Linked DNA regions of Oryctolagus cuniculus. The protein of the gene in region 1 interacts with the protein of each later gene in a pairwise test. Links are inferred from orthologs where the notes say so. Each region holds a gene or a part of one and is shown in the gene's direction. Other genes may lie near its edges.

Region 1 (3,515 bases):
ATTTTTAGAGACTAAAAATAGAAACAGGGAAGACCACAAAATGGATAATTTACATAGAATTTTAGGGGAGAGGAAAATTATAGGCATGTCCTTTTTATGAATCTTTTGAATAGTTGTCTACTTTTTAATTTTTGGTATATAGGTTTTATTTTTCAACTTATGAGAAAATGTTTTAGTTAAATGCTATTTATGACATTTGCCTCTCTTGGATATTTGTTATTTTAACTCACTGTAATTTTAGCTCTGAGTTAGTGATAGCTGAAACAAGTACCTTAATTTCTGAGTCCTTAGCAGAAGATTTTTCTGAATTTTATTAATAAATTTGTCTCAGTTAAAATTTTGTTTATTTGATAGGTAATATTTTCTTCACTTTTGGAATTTTTTTTAAAGATTGATTTATTTGAAAGGCAGAGTTTCAGAGAGCGAGTGAAGGAGAGAGAGATCATGCATCCTCTGGTTCACTCTCCAAATGGACATAATAGCTGTCTTCCACTGTTTTCCCAGGCACATTAGCAGGGAGCTGCTTTGGAACTGGAGCAGCTAGGACTGGAATCAGTACCAACAAGGGATGTTGGCGCAGCAGGTAGTGGTTTTACTTACTAAGCCACAGCACTGGCCCCCACTTTTAGATTTTGACAAAGATCTTTCATAACAAATCAGTGGCAGAAAGAGAATTAGAATTCAGGAAGTTTGTTCTGAAGGGCAGGATACTTGAAATGCCTTAGTAGTTAAACTAAAGTTTATTCAGCCCAATATTTGGTCTCTGAAGCATTTTTGTGGGCATTCATGGTTCCTGTCCAAAGTGGTAACCCTAGAGGTGTTTACTGCAAACAACCTTCTTAATAAGCTCTGGTGACCCTAGGAGACACAATGTTCCTAAATGTTTCTTAAGCTTACGTACTTTCAAATACTATTATCAGAGGCTGAAGTCCCTTTTAGGATCTAGAATTACTTTTTTTTTTTTTTTTTACTTTGAAATCATTCTAATATTTCCGTATAATCTCATGGCTTAGAAGAAAGGAAGACAGAAGCCCTGAATTTTATTTCTGGGTCTGCTCCTAATTAGTATGTTACCTTTGTTGAAGTATTTAACTTCTTTGGACTTCATTTTATCCTTATTTATATAATAAGCACTAAGTAGTCCTAAAGAGTTTTCTTATTCTAAATAAATACAATAGAATTTGTGATCATACTCTTCTTCTGCCCTTGTCAATTTCTATATGATTTTATAGAGTTGGCCATATGTTTTATAATTTGTTCCTTGCTACACAGTAAAATACTGACTAATCCATCTTTTCTCCCCCAGTTTGTCTCAGTTCCTTTGGTCATGTAAATTGTACTTCTCTAATCTTTCTCTGTTGATGTCTTTCTTAAAATAGGGCTGGTAAGAACAGCACTGAAGGTGTGTGCAGATGTGCTATGATCTTATATAAATCTAAGATCATATTTTCTGCTTTATTTTGGCTCCTTTTTTAATGCCAATATTTCTAGAATTTTTCAGCTATAATATTTCAAAATGTCTTTTCAGCCAACCCTTTGCCTCTGGACTAGACTATTGCTAAGCTCTTTACTATTCAATATCTTCTGGGACAGAGATTTCACAACCTGTTTCTCACCTTGAGGAAGTTCTTATAACCAACATAAATCTTGCTTTCTGCAATTTAAGTTGAATTTATATCCTTTTTCTTTTCTCTGTAGAGATGGGAACAACCCCAACTGGAAGTGATTTTTTTTTTTTTTTTGAGGGATAGTACTGAATGTAGTAGAAAGATTACCTGTCCAACATAATTTTTGGTTTTTATCTTTTCAAGCTTCCTGGCTTATGTTTCAATTTTTATGTTTTAGGAGATAGTATATTTTAAAGAACAAATTAATATTTATTATATACTTTGTTATTTATAACCATGTGAGGCATTAAAAAATGTGTTCTCCAACTGTATTGAAGGGCATTAACAGATTTGTATGTTATTTGATGTAATCATGTGGCTGATTTTTTTTTTGCCTGTAGTTTGTAGGTTTTATCTCATGAACTTACTAATCATATTGTGTAAATGACTTATTTGTCCATGTCTTCCTTATAAGTAATATGAATAGAAGCTTATTTTTTAGAACAAACTATTTTGAAGTAGATTTCAGTGTGCTTAGTCTAATAGCTTAGTTCCTAAGCTAAGAACTGTGCTGGGTGTGGAGAAACATGGTCTTTGCCCTTGAGGAGCTGATAGTCTTCCCAAGGGGAGAGATTATAAAATTGTAAAAATAAGGCATTTATAAAATATTATATGATACTGCATATAAAGTAAGATATTTAATGTGAATGTTATTTTATAGGTTAAAATTAATACTGAAAGTGTTTTATAAATCTGTTCTATTGACTAAGACACTCTAAAATAAAATGTCTAATTGTTTCATTCTGCATTTTGTTTCTTTTTACTTTGAAGGTTCAGCAGTTTTCTGAAAAATCTTTCCTCTTACAGCTTTTGAAAACTCATGAAAATGCTTTAGAAAGACAATGCAGTGAAATTACAAACCAAAGGAATATGCTTCTCCAAACCTTTGTAAGTCTCCAGCCACTTAGAAAAATCCATTTAATAACTGTGTTTAAAAGTATTTTAATATAGTTAGGTGTACTTTCAGAAAATTATCCATATGCATATTGGCAGATAGTACTGTTCAGTATCTACAGAAAAGTATTAAGTGCTATTTAAAATCAATTGACAAAGTAATATAGTTTGAGATAATTCTATTGGCAGGGATGTGATGTAGGAATTATTTGCATTAAAAAACAGTGAAGCTGATTTTGAAATTTTCTGGATTTTAGAACTTGGTTTGTTTTAATGCTTTTCACACTTTACGCATATTTATGAATGTGGGAAAATAATGGATTTTGTTTATTCTTTTTTCTTGAGTCAGAGCCAGCGAACTGAGCATCAGTTTTGACTGACAAAGCCAGATTAGAAATATGACGACATGTAATCGACATTTAAAGAAAATATATTTAAAGATATTAAATATACATATTGAAAATCAAAATCTACAAACTTGATTTTGAATGACATGGCTAGTTTCTGAATGTGGCTCATGATTAGTTGACATCTTTTAGAAAAAATGGAAAAAAATGTGATAATATCTAGCTTTGTGAAAAAAAATGTAGGGTTTTGCATTATCCAGAATTTTTTTGGAAATTCTTATTTCCATGCCTTATTGATATTTAATAAAATGTAAACTATTATTTGTAAGTGATTTTGAAATGGATCTATAATTTTGCCTTCATTATCTACATCTTGAAAGGTTTCCTTGGGGTATGGGCATTTGGGGTAGTGGCTAAGATGGTGCTGGGATTCCCACATTCTGCATCAGAGTGGCTGGGTTTAAGTCCCAGCTCTGCTCCTGCTCGCCGCTCCTGGCTTGGCCCATTCCTGGCTGTTACGGGCACTTGGGGAATAAACTAGTGATTAGGAGATCTCTGTCTGTCTTCCTCTTCTCATCCCCTGCCACTGGTGTATGTCTCTCCTCTT
Region 2 (3,515 bases), about 38 Mb from region 1:
GACTAGTACCCTGAGTTGGTGTATAAGCATGTATGCTAGGGATTGTCAAAAAATTCATGGGAATGAGAGTTAGGGGAAAACTAAGCAGAGATTTGAAAATTGTTTTTGCACCAATGTGCATTTTCTACAAACTCGGTAAAGTACCCTTGTAGGTACATGTAAATGGCAGGACTGTCATTCCTGATGAACCCAGACTCTCGCCCATGTCCAGTGGTAGCAGCCAAGCATGGGTTGTGGGAACGCTAGATACTTGTTAACCTCTGTGTGTTTTACGATTATGAAAAAGTGAGAGCTTTAATAGCCCTCTTCAAATTTCACACATATATATATATATGTATATATATATATATATATTTGTGCACTAGAGTCTATGCCAACATCTGCTCACAAACACGTTGTGATCAGAGGTCTCCTTTATTGAGCAGATGCAACCATGATAACCTCATCACGTGATGAACAAGTTATCTCTGCACTTTGTGATAATCTTTGGTTTGTAGACCAAGCAGCCATGTGTCCTCAAAGACTGTTTGTTTGTTTTCATTTTATTTGGAAGGCAGAGAGACAGAGAAGCCTTCTGAAAAAGATTTATGTATTTGAAAGGGAAAGTCACAGAGAGGAGATAGAGATCTTGCATATGCTGGTTCACCCTCCAAATACCTACAAGAAAGCCAAAGCCAGGAGCCCAGAACTCCATCTAGATTTCCTGCCTCAGTGGCAAGGACCCAACTACTTGAGCCATTATCTGCTGCCTTCCCAGGGTTCCTGTTAGCAAGAAACTGGATGGGAAGTACAGAAGCTGGCACTTGAACTAGGCATTGTGATATGGGATGCAGGCATCCCAAGCCATGTCTTAACTGCTGTGCCCAATGCCCACCCAAGACCACTGTTTTTGACGCTCTTCCCTTCTGTGCCTCCTGCAGGCCCCGAAGTTCTTCCCGGGGCAGCTGTGGTGATAGCAAGGAGCCACAGACCATTACCCAGCTCACCAAGCACATCCAGAGCCTCAAGCGGAAAATTCGGAAATTTGAAGAAAAATTTGAACAGGAAAAGAAGTACCGGGTAAGCACCTGGGGTTGGATGTAAGAGCAGATTGTGTCAGAGCTGTGTGGATATTCCTGGGCTGCGTTCCTTCTTTCTGGGTTGCCTGCTTGGCAGGCATCGACTCCATTCCCACTGGCCAACCCGGACCCATGATAAACTCAGTCTGCATCTTGTGTCTGTTGCAGTCTCCCCTGCTGTTGGTGGGAGGGTCTCTGCTGTGATACTTCTTGTAATGGATTATGACTCTCACTTCTGAACTGGACTGTGATCACACCCTTTTTTCCTGGAGGACCCTATTATCACTAGTTATTCCAGAATGAAAATTTGGAAAGCATTTGAATTTTTGTCTTTTTTTTTTTTAACTTTTTTTCCCATTTTGATAGGGCACTATTAAGGACCTAAAGGGCAGAATGTCCAATTGTGGAGTAGCATCAGGGCAAGATGGTTTCTGTGACACTGAAGCATGTCCTGGTGGGAGAAAAAGGGACCTGTCATGTGACATCAGTTCAGGGCCACCCACAAGAACAAGTCTGCACCTCCTTTGCCATCAGAGAGGCACGAGTCTTCGTGCTAGTGCCGCAGTGCTACAAACATGAGCCTTGCTGCTTCTCACATAATCAGTGCTGCTTTTCTTTATTTTCTCGGATGGCGACCACTGCATAAGGAAAAGTCCTATTCACACGGAACTGCACAAAGATAGTGAGTCTTTGGCAAAGAGCCCAGAACAGCTTGCTATGAGAATAAAAGAAAACAAACAATCCGTCATACATCTTAGAATACGTAAAGGCTCCCTGAGCATTTGGGACAAAAACAGTTGGGAGGTTCCTGTGAGCATGGTGTTAAGTTCTGGGGAGTGCGGTGGAAGAGGGTAGTATTCCAGTCTTCCTGTCCTGTGTTTCCCATAGCGGGCTCAGGTTCACTAATGGGGGAATTTTAAGGAGTGGTTTTCAGCTTTCCAAAGTGGGAGGTAAAACCAGGTTGACTTTTAAGGCAACCTTAGTCAGGATGTTGAAGGTTCTTCTCTTCCCTAGGGTCAGACTGTCACAGCGGTTATTGGGAGCCCTGCCTTAGTCCAGGCCTTTATTTTACAAATAAGGAAACAGAGGCCGGGCAGAGACTTAGAGCTTACATCCCGTGACTGTCTGTCAGCTTGGGCTTGGATCAGTGGGTTGAAGGGGAATAGGTTTTGCAGTGGAGAAGTCAGATAACTCTTACGTGTGCCGTGTTTGAAAGCTCCAGATACTCTGAAAGCACTGATTGTTACCTGCTGCTTGCTGCAGACTTCCTGGGCCTGTGATGTCCCAACCCTGGGAACTGTGGACTACCAGCTCAGGCTTCTTGCCCAGGGCCTGTGAACACATCTTACCTGGAAGTTCAGAATCGGACTCTCCTGGATGTAAATCCAGTGGAGCAACTTAAGAACTTTGTGACTTTGAACTTGACCTCTCTGAGTCTCCATTTGTCTATCCGCTAAGTGCAGTTAATATTAGTGGTAACTTCTTGAGTCTCTGAGTAGTAAATAAGGGATATATATGCTTATTACAGTGTTTGACACAAATTGGGCTACTAGATTCTAAAGTAGCTTTTTAATCTATGTGAGATATATTTGACCAGGCTAGCCAATGGCTATCTCTGTCTTGTCATAAAGCAAAGGAAATTTGTACGTGGTAATTCTCTGTGGGTTTTTCCACCTGTAGCCAGAGACTGTGGATGATTATTCTCAACCATAGCAGCCACCCAGCAGCTGCCTACTTTGGAAGAGAATTTTCCTGGCACCTCCTGCCTTTGTTTAGAGAAGCTGTAAAGCCAAAGCAGATATACACATATAAATACACTTGCAGACAGATGCATCAGGAGGAGCAGGGACAGGGGACTTCATGGTTGGCATTGCTTTAGTGGGCATAAAAGCCCGTGAAATAATCAGAACCTTATATGTCTCAGGAAACAGGGCTTCCCCTTGCCCTTCTTGTCAAGGTGCCAAGCTCTGGTCAGAGGTTTGACCTATCAGTGGGCTTTAACTGGTTGCTGTGTGTAAACTTCCCTTCCCGGCAGCCTGAATGTGGAATTAATAGTTCCCATTGCTCATTTTTGAACCCAAGCTCCTGCCAAGCCTCTGCACTGTTCTGATGCCTGTGTTTATCACACATCTTTGCATCTCTGTTGAATTTGACCATTTTATTCTCCTGTCCCAAACTGTGGTTATTTGCTACAACTGATTTTTTTTGTCTGACTTTTAGATTCTAGAGGTTAGAAAAATGCTGCTGTAGCCACATGTCTACTTGGTGGAAACAGAATGTTAGCATTGTAAGGATCTGCTAGTCTTTTTTTTTTTTTCTTTTCTGACAATTACAGATATTGAGTGAATTCCCTGGGATCACACTACAAAGAACTGATCTAGCCAAGATAACAACTTGGGTCTTCTCAGTATCAGTCCAGAGACCTACTATGTTGTAGAGATCTTCTGTGGAAGACCT
Region 3 (3,389 bases), on another chromosome or scaffold:
CCCGCAAAACGCCCGGGAAGCGCAGTACCTGAGAGAGAGGTGGGCCGAGCACGGGACCCCGGACCCAGGAGCAGCAGTAGCCCCACCCACAGGCCTGTGGGCGAGGGGCCGGGCCCCCTTTTCTGGAAGCCCATGAGAGGTCACCTCGGCCTCCGCCCTGGTGCTAGGAACCCCAGCATCTCCTCGGCGTGGCCGCGGTTGCAGACAGAATACAAGATCAAAGCCGCCAGGCCGTGGGCCCACAACCCTGCTGGAGCTGCCCTGTCCCAGGCTTCTGGAGAGAGATGAAAGGGACCGGGTTTGTGTCTCTCGGTGGAATTCGCGCCTGAGGTTTTCTGGGCGCAAGGGGGACCGGCCCGGAATGGAGGGTGAGCGAGAAGTGGGGCCGTGAGCCCCCAGGACAGGCACCAGGAGCTGGGTGAGCTCCTTGCCACCTGTTCTGCAGCTCCCTGGCTGCCCGTGGAAGCCCTGGGAGTTCTCACCCCTCTCTTTCAGCCCCCAGGGACCCCAGCTCCCTCCCTGTGCAGCGTAGCAACCAGCAAGACTACATGGAGACCAAGGGTGAGCCCTGCTTGGTAACCTTTCCCCTGAGCCTCACCAGCCCAGCCGCCCGCCTAAACAGAAGTTCCCAATCCGACTGGATGGCGCGTGGCCACCAGGCAACTCCATGTCACCGAGAGGCTCTCTGGGGGTCCCCAGGTGCCTCGAACCCCTCCTCCCTCATACCTGCCATTTCCAGAAGCCCCGTGGCCACCAGCTGGCTGAGTTCGGTGTCTTTCCAGTGCCTACCCGGGGCCTCACAGCGTCATGCTCCCAGGACAACAGGGACAAACACCTGCCACCCTCCGCCCCCCCCCCGGGGGGGGTGCCGAGGCAGGTGCCTGGGGACTGGAGCAGGAGGCGCCCTAATGGCTTTCCACAGCCAACACCAATTCTGTTCCAGCGCCAAGAACCAGGGCAGTTCCTGTAGAAACATTGCTGCGGCTGGGCCGGGCTCCCAGGGCAGCCTGAGCTTCCCAGAAGGTCAGGCCCTCGGGCTTCCTGGCTCATCCTTGCGGGGAGAACTGTTTTCCCAGCACCTGGAGATCGCTTAGTCTTTCCTGGTGGAAACCGGCTGGGTGGAGTGCCCCAGGCTCCGCACACTGTGAGGCTACTTTTTTTTTTTTTTTTTCATATCTTTCCACTGACTGTGGGCTCCCAGGGAGCCACGCTACGCTTTTCGTATAACCCAGCAGGACACGCCGAGCCGGGCGCTGCTTCCCGCCCCGTGGTCCTGTGTGCCCAGGCTGTCAGCCCCAGGCCCACTCTTAGCTGGCTGCAACAATGAGGGCCTCCGCGGCGCCAGGGGGCGCTCTAGACGCCCGCGAGCGCAGTGGCCAGCCCCACCCGCGCCATGGGCTCCGAGGCCGCACAGCTGCTGGAGGCCGCAGACTTCGCGGCTCGCAAGCACCGGCAGCAGCGCCGGAAGGACCCCGAAAGGACACCCTACATCAACCACCCGATCGGTGGGCGCGCCCGGCCGGGGAGCAACCGTCGCGGCGCCTGGGGGCGGGGGCTGGGGGGGGACCCGGAAGGGGTCGCGGGGGCCGTGCGCTTCCTTGAGCGCCCACTTTGTGCCAAGCGCTGTGCAGGCAGCGTCCGTGCGGCAGGCCAGGTGGGCCGCACTGCAACCCGGCGCAGTAAGCGTGACTGCTCCCTTCGCACGGTTGACACCCAAGCAGGGTAAAGGACTTGCCCAGGGTCGCCCAGCCTGTGAGGGGGTCTCTATCTGGCTGCCCACGACCCCACAGCCGCCATCTCGCGGCTCCCTCCGGTCTCACTCATTGTTTTGCCCCCATCTCACCCCCCACCCCCACCCCCATCCCAATCCGCCCGCCAGGTGTGGCTCGGATCCTGACCCATGAGGCGGGAATCACTGACATTGTGGTGTTACAGGTAACTGCCCCACTTCTCAGGAGGGTTCAGGCCCCCCACACACACACACCCTCAGCAATGGGCACCCCTGGACTGGCATCGCGTGGCTGAACGGGAGCCTGTCCCCAGGCGGCCCTGCTCCACGACACCGTGGAGGACACGGACACCACCCTGGACGAGGTGGAGCTGCACTTTGGGGCGCAGGTGCGGCGCCTGGTGGAGGAGGTGACAGATGACAAGACTCTGCCCAAGCTGGAGAGAAAGCGGCTGCAGGTGGAGCACGCGCCCCACAGCAGCCCGGGGGCCAAACTGGTGAAGCTGGCCGACAAGCTGTACAATCTGAGAGACCTCAAGCGCTGCACCCCGGAGGGTACGCTCCCCACCCCGCACTCCCCTGCTGGCCCTGGGGGAAGGGAGGGAGCAGCCCTCGGGAGGCCGCAGGTGGCTCCGCGGGTCCCACCCGCCACCCTCTGAGGTTTTCAGCACAGATCGCCCCATTGGGAGCTCGGGCCAGGGCCCTGCACCACACCTTCCCGGAAGTGGACAGCAGCTTCCTGTCCACTCTCGCGCAGGGTGGTCAGAACCTCGAGTGCAGGAATACTTCGAGTGGGCGGCGCAGGTGGTGAAGGGGCTTCGGGGAACAAACCGGCAGCTGGAAGAGGCCCTGGAGCAGCTGTTCAGCGAGCGTGGGCTGACGCTCTGAGCACCGGGGGCCAGGCCGCGTGCAGACCCCGGCTTTCGGGGCCTCCCCTTCTCCCTCCGCCCACGTACACTTGGTTCCCCCCTCTGCAGAGGCTCAGTTCTCCCCAGCGGGAGGCAGCTGTAGCCAGTCCGTTCCTAATGCACTCACTGCCTTTGCCCACGTCGAAGCCCTGAGATCGCTGGTCCCTCGGGGACGTGGGCTTGTTTACACTCTAGGTGATCAGCCACCAAGGAAAATAAAGCGTGTTGGGTAAAAGGAAGCTGCGGCTGCTCCTTCGCCTTGTCCGTGGCCTGCTCCCCCGGAGTGAGGGCCTCGCCCCTTCCAGCCTCCCTTCCCTAAGGGGTAGGTGGGTTGTATCCTTAGCAGGAAGCCTCCACCTTGGGAAAGTCGCGAGGGATGACGCATGGTTTGGAAAGGAGTGCCGCCCGCCCCCTGGCAAACCTCGCTGCCCACTGGGGAGACCCCAGCCGCCCCCACGACGGAGCCAGGAAACCGAGTCTCGCAGGCTCCTCCCCCGCGCAGCGGCGCTCCGGTTGCTAGGCGACGGGCAGTTCCGGCCCCGCCCCCTGCAGGCCTGGGGCGGGGCAGAGGTCGCCATCGCCAGCTGGTGGGGTTGGGTGGTGGCTGTGAAGCCGACCGAGGACAAGGAAACGTCGGAGGACAAGGAAACTTAGCTCAAAGGCCGCTGTGTGCTGGACCGCAGGACTGTTTTGCCCAGTGTAGGGCGAAAAGACGCGGAGCGGGAAGCTCCCGTGTAAACGGATACCCGAAG
Region 4 (4,197 bases), on another chromosome or scaffold:
TGAACCAACAATTGAAAAATCCCTCGTTCTCTCCCTCTGCCTCTCCTTCTAACACTATGCCTTTCATATAAATAAATAAAATTCTTAAAGTACATCAAAATTTATTTTTTAATTCTGTGTTTCTGAACTTTTTGAAATACCCACGTGTGATTGCGTAGGCAAGGAACACCCACTTTGAAATGATTTCTCTGGCTCAGAAATGATAAGGAAAGGGCATTACTAAAGTTCTCTCTTCTCTGACTGCTAGTTGTGCGGTTTGAAGGTAGAAGTGGATATGGAGAAGATCGCAGCTGAAATCGCACAGGCAGAGGAGCAGGCCCGCAAAAGGCAAGAGGAGAGGGAGAAGGAGGCAGCGGAGCAAGCGGAGCGCGCCCAGGGCAGCGGCATTCCCGAGGAGGAGCACGCAGCCAGCAAAGCCGAGGACAAGAAGGACGACGAGAGCATTCCAATGGAGACGGGTACGCTGCCAGCCGCACCACGAGGGTCAGGCCGCGGCCGGTCTTTCCTTCCAAACAGCCCCCAAGGTCACGTGGTTCGTCCCACGTTCTTGGTCTCTGGTGGCTGCACTTGGAAGGTTGGGGTCACTGAAGAATGGCAGTGGAGGGTTGTCTGCTGTGTGGGATCAGAGGCCTTGGGGGTCCCCAGTCTGGCTTGGGAATACAAAGTGGAATGGGAGAGCAGTTGAGGGCACCGGCTCTGGAATGAGATCAGGTCTGGGACTGCGTCCCTGCCGGCCAGCCCTGCAGCTTGGGTGAGTTACTCCACTGCGGCCTCCTCACTCGAAGCATCCTAGCAGCCGCCTGCAGAGATCTGCTCCTGGATCTGGTACAGAGCTAGCGTGCAGTATTTTAACCCTTAGTGCTAATACTGTTTAAGCAGTAGTTAGCACTTTTCAGAGTTACAGAGAGGCAGAAGCAGAGAAAGAGGTCTTCCATCTGCTGGTTCACCTCCCAGATGGCCTCAGCGGCCGGAGCTGGGCCTATCAGGAGCCAGGAGCTTCTTCTGGGTCTCCCATGCAGGTGCAAGGGCCCAAGGACTTGGGCCATCTTCTACTGCTTTCCCAGGCCATAGCAGAGAGCTAGATCGGAAGAGGAGCAGCCAGCTGGGGCCAGTGCTGTGGTGTAGAAGGTAAAGCTACTACCTGCAGTGCCGGCATCTTGGTTGGAAGAAGCTCCTGGCTCCTGGCTTCTGATTGGCACAGCTCCGGCCATTTGTGGCCAATTGGGGGTGCATCAGCAGATGGAAGGCCCCCCCCCTGTAACTCTGACTTTCAAATAAATAAATAAATCTTTAAAAAAAAAAAAGCAGAGCAGCCAGGACTCAAACCGGCACCCATATGGATGCCAGCACTGCAGGCGATGGATGTACCAGCTACGCCACAGTGCCAGCCCCCACAGTTACCACTCTTAAGACTGTCTTTGCTGTGTAGGACCACCTTCAGCAGAGTAGACCCTGCAGACCAGATCCTGCCTGCCCCCTGGTTTTCACCAATGGGTCTTTACTGGACACAGCCGTCCCATTGTCCCCATGTCGTCTGCGGCTGTGTGGCGGCGGCAGAGCACTGAGTTGCAGCAGAGCCTCCCTGGGCCACAAAGCTGGACACAGCCACCAGGTAGCCATCGCCAGAAGGTGACAGGCCCCAGCCTAGAAAAGTTTACTTCAGGGGCACTGATTGTCCTGGTAACAAATCTCGGGGGGTAACAAATAACATGGCCATCTTTGGTAAATTAGTCCGGCTTACATGGATTATTACTTCAAGTGTTGCGATTACCTCCCTTGTTGGCACTGCTTTGACCCTGCCTAGTGCCCCCTGTACACAGGCCTGAGCGGAAGGAAGGCATGGGAAACAGCCAGGAGTTCCCTGCACGGTCTTTGCAGGCGGAGGCTCTGCAGCCGTACTTTGCATTAAGCTGACAGACGCCTGGGAAACACTTAATGGAACATAGATTTTTTTGAAAAAAAAAAATTTATTTATTTGAAAGGCAGAAATACAGAGAGAGAAGGAGAGAGAGATCTTCATCTGCTGGTTCACTCCCTAAATGTCCAGGACTATGCCAGGCTCAAACCAGGAACCAGGAGCTTCCTCCAGGTCGCCCACGTGGGTGCAGGGGCCCAGGTGCATTAGCATGGGAGCCGGATCAGAAGTGGAGCAGCCGGGACTTGAACCTGGGCCGCGTTGCAGGCTTGGGCTTACCTGCCTTCTGCACCACGGCACCAGCCCAGAATGTGGATCTCCAGGAGGTGTTTCTGAAAAGCTTGATTCACCAGATTAATGCTTGGGAGGGCTTTAAATGTTTATTTTTATTTATTTGAAGGGCAGAGAGAGATTTCTTCCTTTGATTTACTCCCAGATGCCCACAACAGCCAGGTCTGGGCCAGACCGAAGCCGGGGGCCAGGGTTCTGTCTGCATTTTGCGCACTAGGGCAGGGGCCCAGGTGCTCTTCGGGGGCCTGGTCTGCTGCCCACGGGTTGCACATTAGCAGGAGGTGGGAAGGGAAGCAGTGGCAGGGCTTGGTCCCGGCCCAGCTCCTGCCCAGTCGGGCCGTCCAAGCGGGCAGCTCCTGTTTGCCCTCCTTTCTGTTCCGTGCGAGCACCTTCAGCTCGGCACGTCGGGAGCATGAGCATTTTGTTGTGGTTAAAGCGAGAGTTTGAGAGTGAGGGTAAGGTTCTCTGCTCATGTTCCAGCTAGATAGGGCGCCCGGCCCCTGCCTGTTTGGTCATCTGTCAGTGAGCCGTGTCAAAACGCCTAGGGCTTCACTTGGGTTCTGGCTGTCTAGCTTCGAAGGAAAACTGAGGAAAATTATCAGGGACCGTTAGAGCAGAAACCTCGTGCTGTTGAACGTCTTGCAGAAGACAGCCCAGGACTTCTGTCTCGTGTCCGAGATTCCAGCCTCATTCTTCCCACGTCGGCTTGCTCCGCATTTAATCCAAAGCCCGCTCTGTCCAGCGGAAATACAATGGGAGTTACATACGTACTTAAAGTTTTCTACTAGTGACGTTTTTAAAAGTCAAGTCAGATGAAAGTATCTTTAACAGATAATTATGTATGTGTATTTTCTAAATAATACCATTCAATATGTAATCAACATTTTAAACAAAATTAACCTTTTTTACTTTTCTTGTATTCTAAGTCTTTGAAATCCTGTGTGTATTTTACACTTAGAGCACAGCTCAGTTCAGCAGCTTAATTTTCGTCAGAAGTAAGTTAATCTGTATTCACGTAGCAGAAATTTCTGGTTAGAGAGTGGCTTTCCACGCCCAGGATCATTCTGCACATGCTAGAAATTCCTCCGTAGCCCTGGCTCATCTCAGGTGCCTGTTACCTGCCCTCCTGGGCAGCACAGCCGCGTGCTGTCAGCGTGATGAGGGCCCATGTGTGTCTGGAACTGACGGTGACACATGTGTGATTACAGAGGAGACGCACCTGGAAGAAACGACAGAGAGCCAGCAGAATGGCGAAGAAGGCACGTCCACTCCCGAGGACAAGGAGAGTGGGCAGGAGGGGGTCGACAGTCTGGCCGAGGAAGGAACCAGTGACAGTAACACCGGTTCGGAGAGCAACAGTGCCACGGTGGAGGAGCCGCCGACAGACCCCATACCGGAAGATGAGAAAAAAGAATAGATGTTGCCTTGTTTTATGTGTTCTAAATACTTTTTTAAATGAAAAAAAATGTTTTTTGGTTTTAATGGTGTTATGTGGTTTGTGTATTTTTTTCCTTGTCCATATCACACCACCAAAGGCTTTTTGGACCATTTAGCATCACGAGCCTAACGGCAGTCACCTTCCTTAGACGTTGAACATGGCTCTTTTCTTTGGATCTTGTTTCTAGCCCTCAGCTACGGAAAGCCTCAGAATTTAGGTTAACTGAGAAAGCATTCGCCTCCTTTAGAAAATCATCCTTTGATGCTGCAGAGTCTACTCTACAAATGCCTTCCTACAGCTCACTTGGGTGCTTCCCTAAGCCATAGCTTTAACCCTCTCGGTCCTGGCAGCAGCCTCCCGAAAGTCCCCTCTCGTGTACTTCTGCAGAGAGCAGCTTCTTGATGCGATCATGGGTCCGTGTGTATTTGTTCTCACCCTTTTTATATTTAATCAACGTCCGACTCCAGGTGTGTGTGAAGGAGTGGCGTGCAGCCTGCAGCTGACTGCACGTGGGTCGTGTTGATCCCGGGCAGCTCCCAGGGTTGGAGTAGCT
Region 5 (3,959 bases), on another chromosome or scaffold:
GACAGAAGCGCTCAGAACACTGCCAACCCCTCTTGAATCTTCAGGGAGCTGCAGGAAAGGGGTCTGGCCTGAGGAACGGATGGCAGGGCAGCAGGACTCTGGAGAGGAAGCAGAGGCTTGGGCAGGAGCCCGCAAAGAGAATGACAGTGATTCCAAATTCAGGAACTCTCCAGTCACTTGGTTTGGCACTGATTCTCCGTGTTGCAGCATCTGGCAAGTTCAGGAAACATCCCAGGGGCTCCAAGGTGGCATCCTTAGTGAAGGGGCTTCAGATCGCCAGTCCATGGTGTGGGGGGGTCACTGGTCACATGCCCTCAAAAACTACATGATTTGTTATGTCTCAAAGGGCTGTCTTTTATTCTGAGAGCCTGCCCTTCCTACTTTTTATTGAATGATGATGGTGATAACAGATAGATAGTAGGTTTTTCTGTCTGTAATGTCCTTACTTAGTAAAATAAAAAGACAGCAATGCTATGTCTGCCCTCAAAAAAGGCTTGTTGTTTTAATTTTACCGGACCATGACATTCAAAAGTCCAGGAACTGTTGGCCAAGTGATCAAGAACACAGTGTTCAAACATGGAAGCACCACTTATCCTTTCCTGAACTTCTGTAGGATTGCCAGGTTTGAAAAGCACAAAACCAAGATGCCCACTTAAATTTGAATTTCCGGTAAATAATAATTTCTTTGTGCCAGTATATGACATAGAATATACTCATAGAAAAACAACACAAATGGCCTATTGTTTACCTGAAATTCAGATGTAACTGGGCGCCCCGTATCTTATCTGCCAGTCCTAATTGGCAAAGGTTGCTTAACTTTTCCGTTCCTAACAAACATGCACTAAGCACTTAGGAAATGTTACTTCTTGCTATTGTTTCTGAAGCCAGGGCTATGCTACACAGCAGGACTAGCTGTGTGGTTTTCTATAGGCAGGTTCTGGGAGGCCAACACAGCAGCTGTAAACGTTATTCACAGACCTGCTGTAGCAATAAAAGCAAGCAGCTGTGTGATGGAGCTCCTCCAGGTGCGTTAGGGCCGGTCCCCGCCCCGACGCGGGGGACCCAGACTACACATCCCACAATCCTAGGCGGCGTCCCCTGGCCATTACCTCATCGCCTGGCCTCGTTTTCGCCAATCCCTGCCTCTCCAGGGGTGTGGTCGCGGGCTGCTCTCGCGACTTTTGCTTTACCCTTCTACTGTGCTTTTGTCGCGAGACTTCCTGCGCCTCTGCCGCTCCCTTTGCCGCCGCCTTAGCCGGGGACCCGGACCCAGCCTCTCCCCTACCCGGTCACCGGCCCCGGCTTCGCCGAGGCCCCGGTCCCCCAGCCCCGCCTCGCCGCCGCCATGGCGGACCCTAAATACGCCGACCTTCCCGGCATTGTGAGTACAGGGCCGGCCCCGGTTCCCTAGGACCGCGGCCCCGACCTCCCAGGGACCCCCAACAGAAACCTACCCGCGACCCCTCCCGCCTGCCGCCCCTCCTCAGCCCCGAGGGCTCCCGCCGCTGCTCTCCAGCCGGCCGCAGCACCTCCCCGGACCACTGACCCGGCCGGAGCCAGGCCGGGTTTTCGGACAGCCCACCAGGCCCCCTTTCCAGCAGCCGCCGGCTTCTCGGCCCAGAAATCGTCTCCGGACGCTTACCACTTGTACCCTTGTTTTTACCATCTGTGTCAACCCCGCCCGTGCCTCTGCAGACCTCCCCATGAGCCCCCCCACCCCCGTCCCTAGCCCCGACACACAACACCAGGCCCCTTGTGGTCATAAACCTGCCAAGGAAGAGGTTCCTGTGGCAGAACCCCTTCTTGTGTCACATGGGGAGGTCTGGCCTTCGGGAAGCCGGCGCCCCCCCTACCTACATGCACGCGTTGGCTTTTGTGCTGCCCGGCCTGAGTTCTTGGGGGTGGGGCACAGGAGGTAGAGTGCTGGGTCCTGAGTCACTGTAACTCTTCAGCCAGGGTAGTGATGTACAGGGCCTAATTCGAGGATAGCCCTCACCTCCTTCGGACGTGCCCCCCTCCAGAATCAGGGTTTGTTATCACTAACACTTACGCTCAGCTCCCAGTTGTGCCCACTGTCATCCCCATTACTCGGAGATCGGGGTACAGACACGCTGTTGACAGTGCAGGTGGAGGAGAAGGGACAGGATCCTGGCATCATAGCCTGCCTTCACCGTTAGCTCGTTCAAATGGGAGTGGGGATGGAGGTGCTGATGGGTGCTGGGTAGTGAGGCTGGGTGGTCCCTGCTTCTGCCTGCAGGCCAGGAACGAGCCAGATGTGTATGAAACCAGCGACCTACCTGAGGATGATCAAGCGGAGTTTGATGCGGTAAGACACTGTGCTGCCTCAGGACTCCTCCCCCAACACAGGCCCTTCCCCTGGTCTGCAAAGCCACAGCAATAAGCGGGTATGCCAACCCCAGGCTGCACAGCTTGCATAGGCCTTCCTGGCCTCACAGCCGCCGAGGAGCAGAGCCAGGAGCGAGAGTCAAGCCAGTAGGATTACCGCTAACGAGACCTGTGTGCAAAGCCCCGGTCCTTGGGCCTTTAGATATTTAAACTGAAATAGAACAATTCCATTTGGCACTGATGACTTAGTTCACTAGGCCTTGGGTTCTCATCCATAGCAGTGAGCCATGATGCATGAGCACTCCAGATAAAGAAAATAGGCTTTCTACATGTTCATGAGTATCCTCCCAAGAACTAGACTTTGAAGTATAGAGGAATACTTCTTACAGCCATTGGGCAAGGAGCCAGGAAGATTATTTGGAGATGTTAGATAACGGACCTGATCAGAACAAAAGAAGTTTGAGGAAGAACACACGTGTTTCGTGTCAGCAGAGGAGAGGCTGTGGTAGCTCTTCCAGATCCAGAACTCAGGAGGAAGAAGCTAGCAGTGGAGACAGTTTAACCATGAGGAGAGCCTTTTTTTTTTCTTTTTTTTTTTTTTAAAGGAAATACAACTATGAAAGGCAGGGAATTTTTTTTTTAAATATGAAAGGCAGAAAGAGAAATAACATCTGCTGGTTCAGTCCCTGTCTGCCTGCAATAGCTGGGCTGGGCCAGGCCGGAGCCTGGATCCAGGAACTCAGTCTGGGTCTCCCGCATGGGTGGCTGGTATCCACATGCTTGAAGCAGTCACCTGCTGCCTCCCACAGCGTGCATTAGCAGGAAGCTGGCCTGGAGCAGAGCTGGGACGGAAACCCAGGCGCCATGGTGCAGGCTGCAGGTGGCCCACGTGGCATCCAACTGCTGCCCCAAGCAGAACCATTCAGCATCATTTATTAAATGTGTTTATTCTTTGTGCAGCACAGAGGAAGAAAAGCCCCTGTCCTTAGAAAGCCCAAGACTAAGGGAGAATTGGGATACATGTAGGAAACATGGGGGAAAAAAACAAAGTTGAGTGAATGAAAATGAACATAGTAAAAACTAGGTGCATAAGTGCCAAGGGGGACAAAAATCTATTAGTATGTTTCACAGGCTGGCTTTTAGGTTCTTCTGTTTCCAAAGAGAGCTGGGCTGGGTCACGTTGATTATGTGAGACTCAGAGAAGCTGTGGCCAAGAGTCACTGGGAACAGGCTCAGGATGCGTGTCTGTAAGTCCTGTGGCTGCATCTGTGGGGCTGGTTAGTTCTGGGGAATGCTGGTTGCTGGCTTCCTATGTATGGCTTGGCGTACTCACTTATTTATTTGATTCCCCCTTGTGGAAGTGCTTCCTACATTGTGGGGAACACCTTCCCTGTCCCCTCTCTCAGTGATGTGTTCCTTGTGGCTTCCATACTCGCTGGCATGTCAGTCTGTCCCCCAAGCTTGAGTATCTGGAGATAATGCAGATGATGTTGTTGCCAAGGATCTGAGGGTGCACCTGTCACTCCAAGAGTGTGCACCTGTCGCTCCAGCAAGCTGCTTCCATCCTCACAGGATAGGAGTGATATAAGCTGAGAACTTCCCTGTGCTGCCAC

The links.
Region 2: the proteins of CCDC172 (region 1) and FAM13C interact in binary tests that used the Homo sapiens proteins (3 or more experiments, as listed by UniProt). The two-hybrid records come from large-scale screens. The link is inferred for Oryctolagus cuniculus from reciprocal best matches to the Homo sapiens genes CCDC172 and FAM13C.
Region 3: the proteins of CCDC172 (region 1) and HDDC3 interact in binary tests that used the Homo sapiens proteins (3 or more experiments, as listed by UniProt). The two-hybrid records come from large-scale screens. The link is inferred for Oryctolagus cuniculus from reciprocal best matches to the Homo sapiens genes CCDC172 and HDDC3.
Region 4: the proteins of CCDC172 (region 1) and SMARCE1 interact in binary tests that used the Homo sapiens proteins (3 or more experiments, as listed by UniProt). The two-hybrid records come from large-scale screens. The link is inferred for Oryctolagus cuniculus from reciprocal best matches to the Homo sapiens genes CCDC172 and SMARCE1.
Region 5: the proteins of CCDC172 (region 1) and DCTN2 interact in binary tests that used the Homo sapiens proteins (3 or more experiments, as listed by UniProt). The two-hybrid records come from large-scale screens. The link is inferred for Oryctolagus cuniculus from reciprocal best matches to the Homo sapiens genes CCDC172 and DCTN2.

Annotation. Positions count from the first base shown.
Region 1 is NC_091446.1:13,984,193-13,987,707, reverse strand, and holds part of CCDC172 (coiled-coil domain-containing protein 172), read left to right. Parts: intron 1-2,438; coding exon 2,439-2,555; intron 2,556-3,515.
Region 2 is NC_091446.1:51,729,266-51,732,780, reverse strand, and holds part of FAM13C (protein FAM13C), read left to right. Parts: intron 1-920; coding exon 921-1,059; intron 1,060-3,515.
Region 3 is NC_091443.1:100,334,247-100,337,635, forward strand, and holds HDDC3 (guanosine-3',5'-bis(diphosphate) 3'-pyrophosphohydrolase MESH1), read left to right. Parts: upstream 1-1,342; 5' UTR 1,343-1,393; coding exon 1,394-1,505; intron 1,506-1,879; coding exon 1,880-1,935; intron 1,936-2,043; coding exon 2,044-2,284; intron 2,285-2,486; coding exon 2,487-2,617; 3' UTR 2,618-2,876; downstream 2,877-3,389. Other genes in the region: protein shisa-like-1, read right to left, coding at 29-134. UniProt on the Homo sapiens protein: ppGpp hydrolyzing enzyme involved in starvation response.
Region 4 is NC_091448.1:21,904,286-21,908,482, forward strand, and holds the end of SMARCE1 (SWI/SNF-related matrix-associated actin-dependent regulator of chromatin subfamily E member 1), read left to right. Parts: intron 1-247; coding exon 248-458; intron 459-3,414; coding exon 3,415-3,623; 3' UTR 3,624-3,688; downstream 3,689-4,197. UniProt on the Homo sapiens protein: Involved in transcriptional activation and repression of select genes by chromatin remodeling (alteration of DNA-nucleosome topology).
Region 5 is NC_091442.1:60,157,697-60,161,655, reverse strand, and holds the start of DCTN2 (dynactin subunit 2), read left to right. Parts: upstream 1-1,145; 5' UTR 1,146-1,345; coding exon 1,346-1,381; intron 1,382-2,257; coding exon 2,258-2,326; intron 2,327-3,959. UniProt on the Homo sapiens protein: Part of the dynactin complex that activates the molecular motor dynein for ultra-processive transport along microtubules. In the dynactin soulder domain, binds the ACTR1A filament and acts as a molecular ruler to determine the length.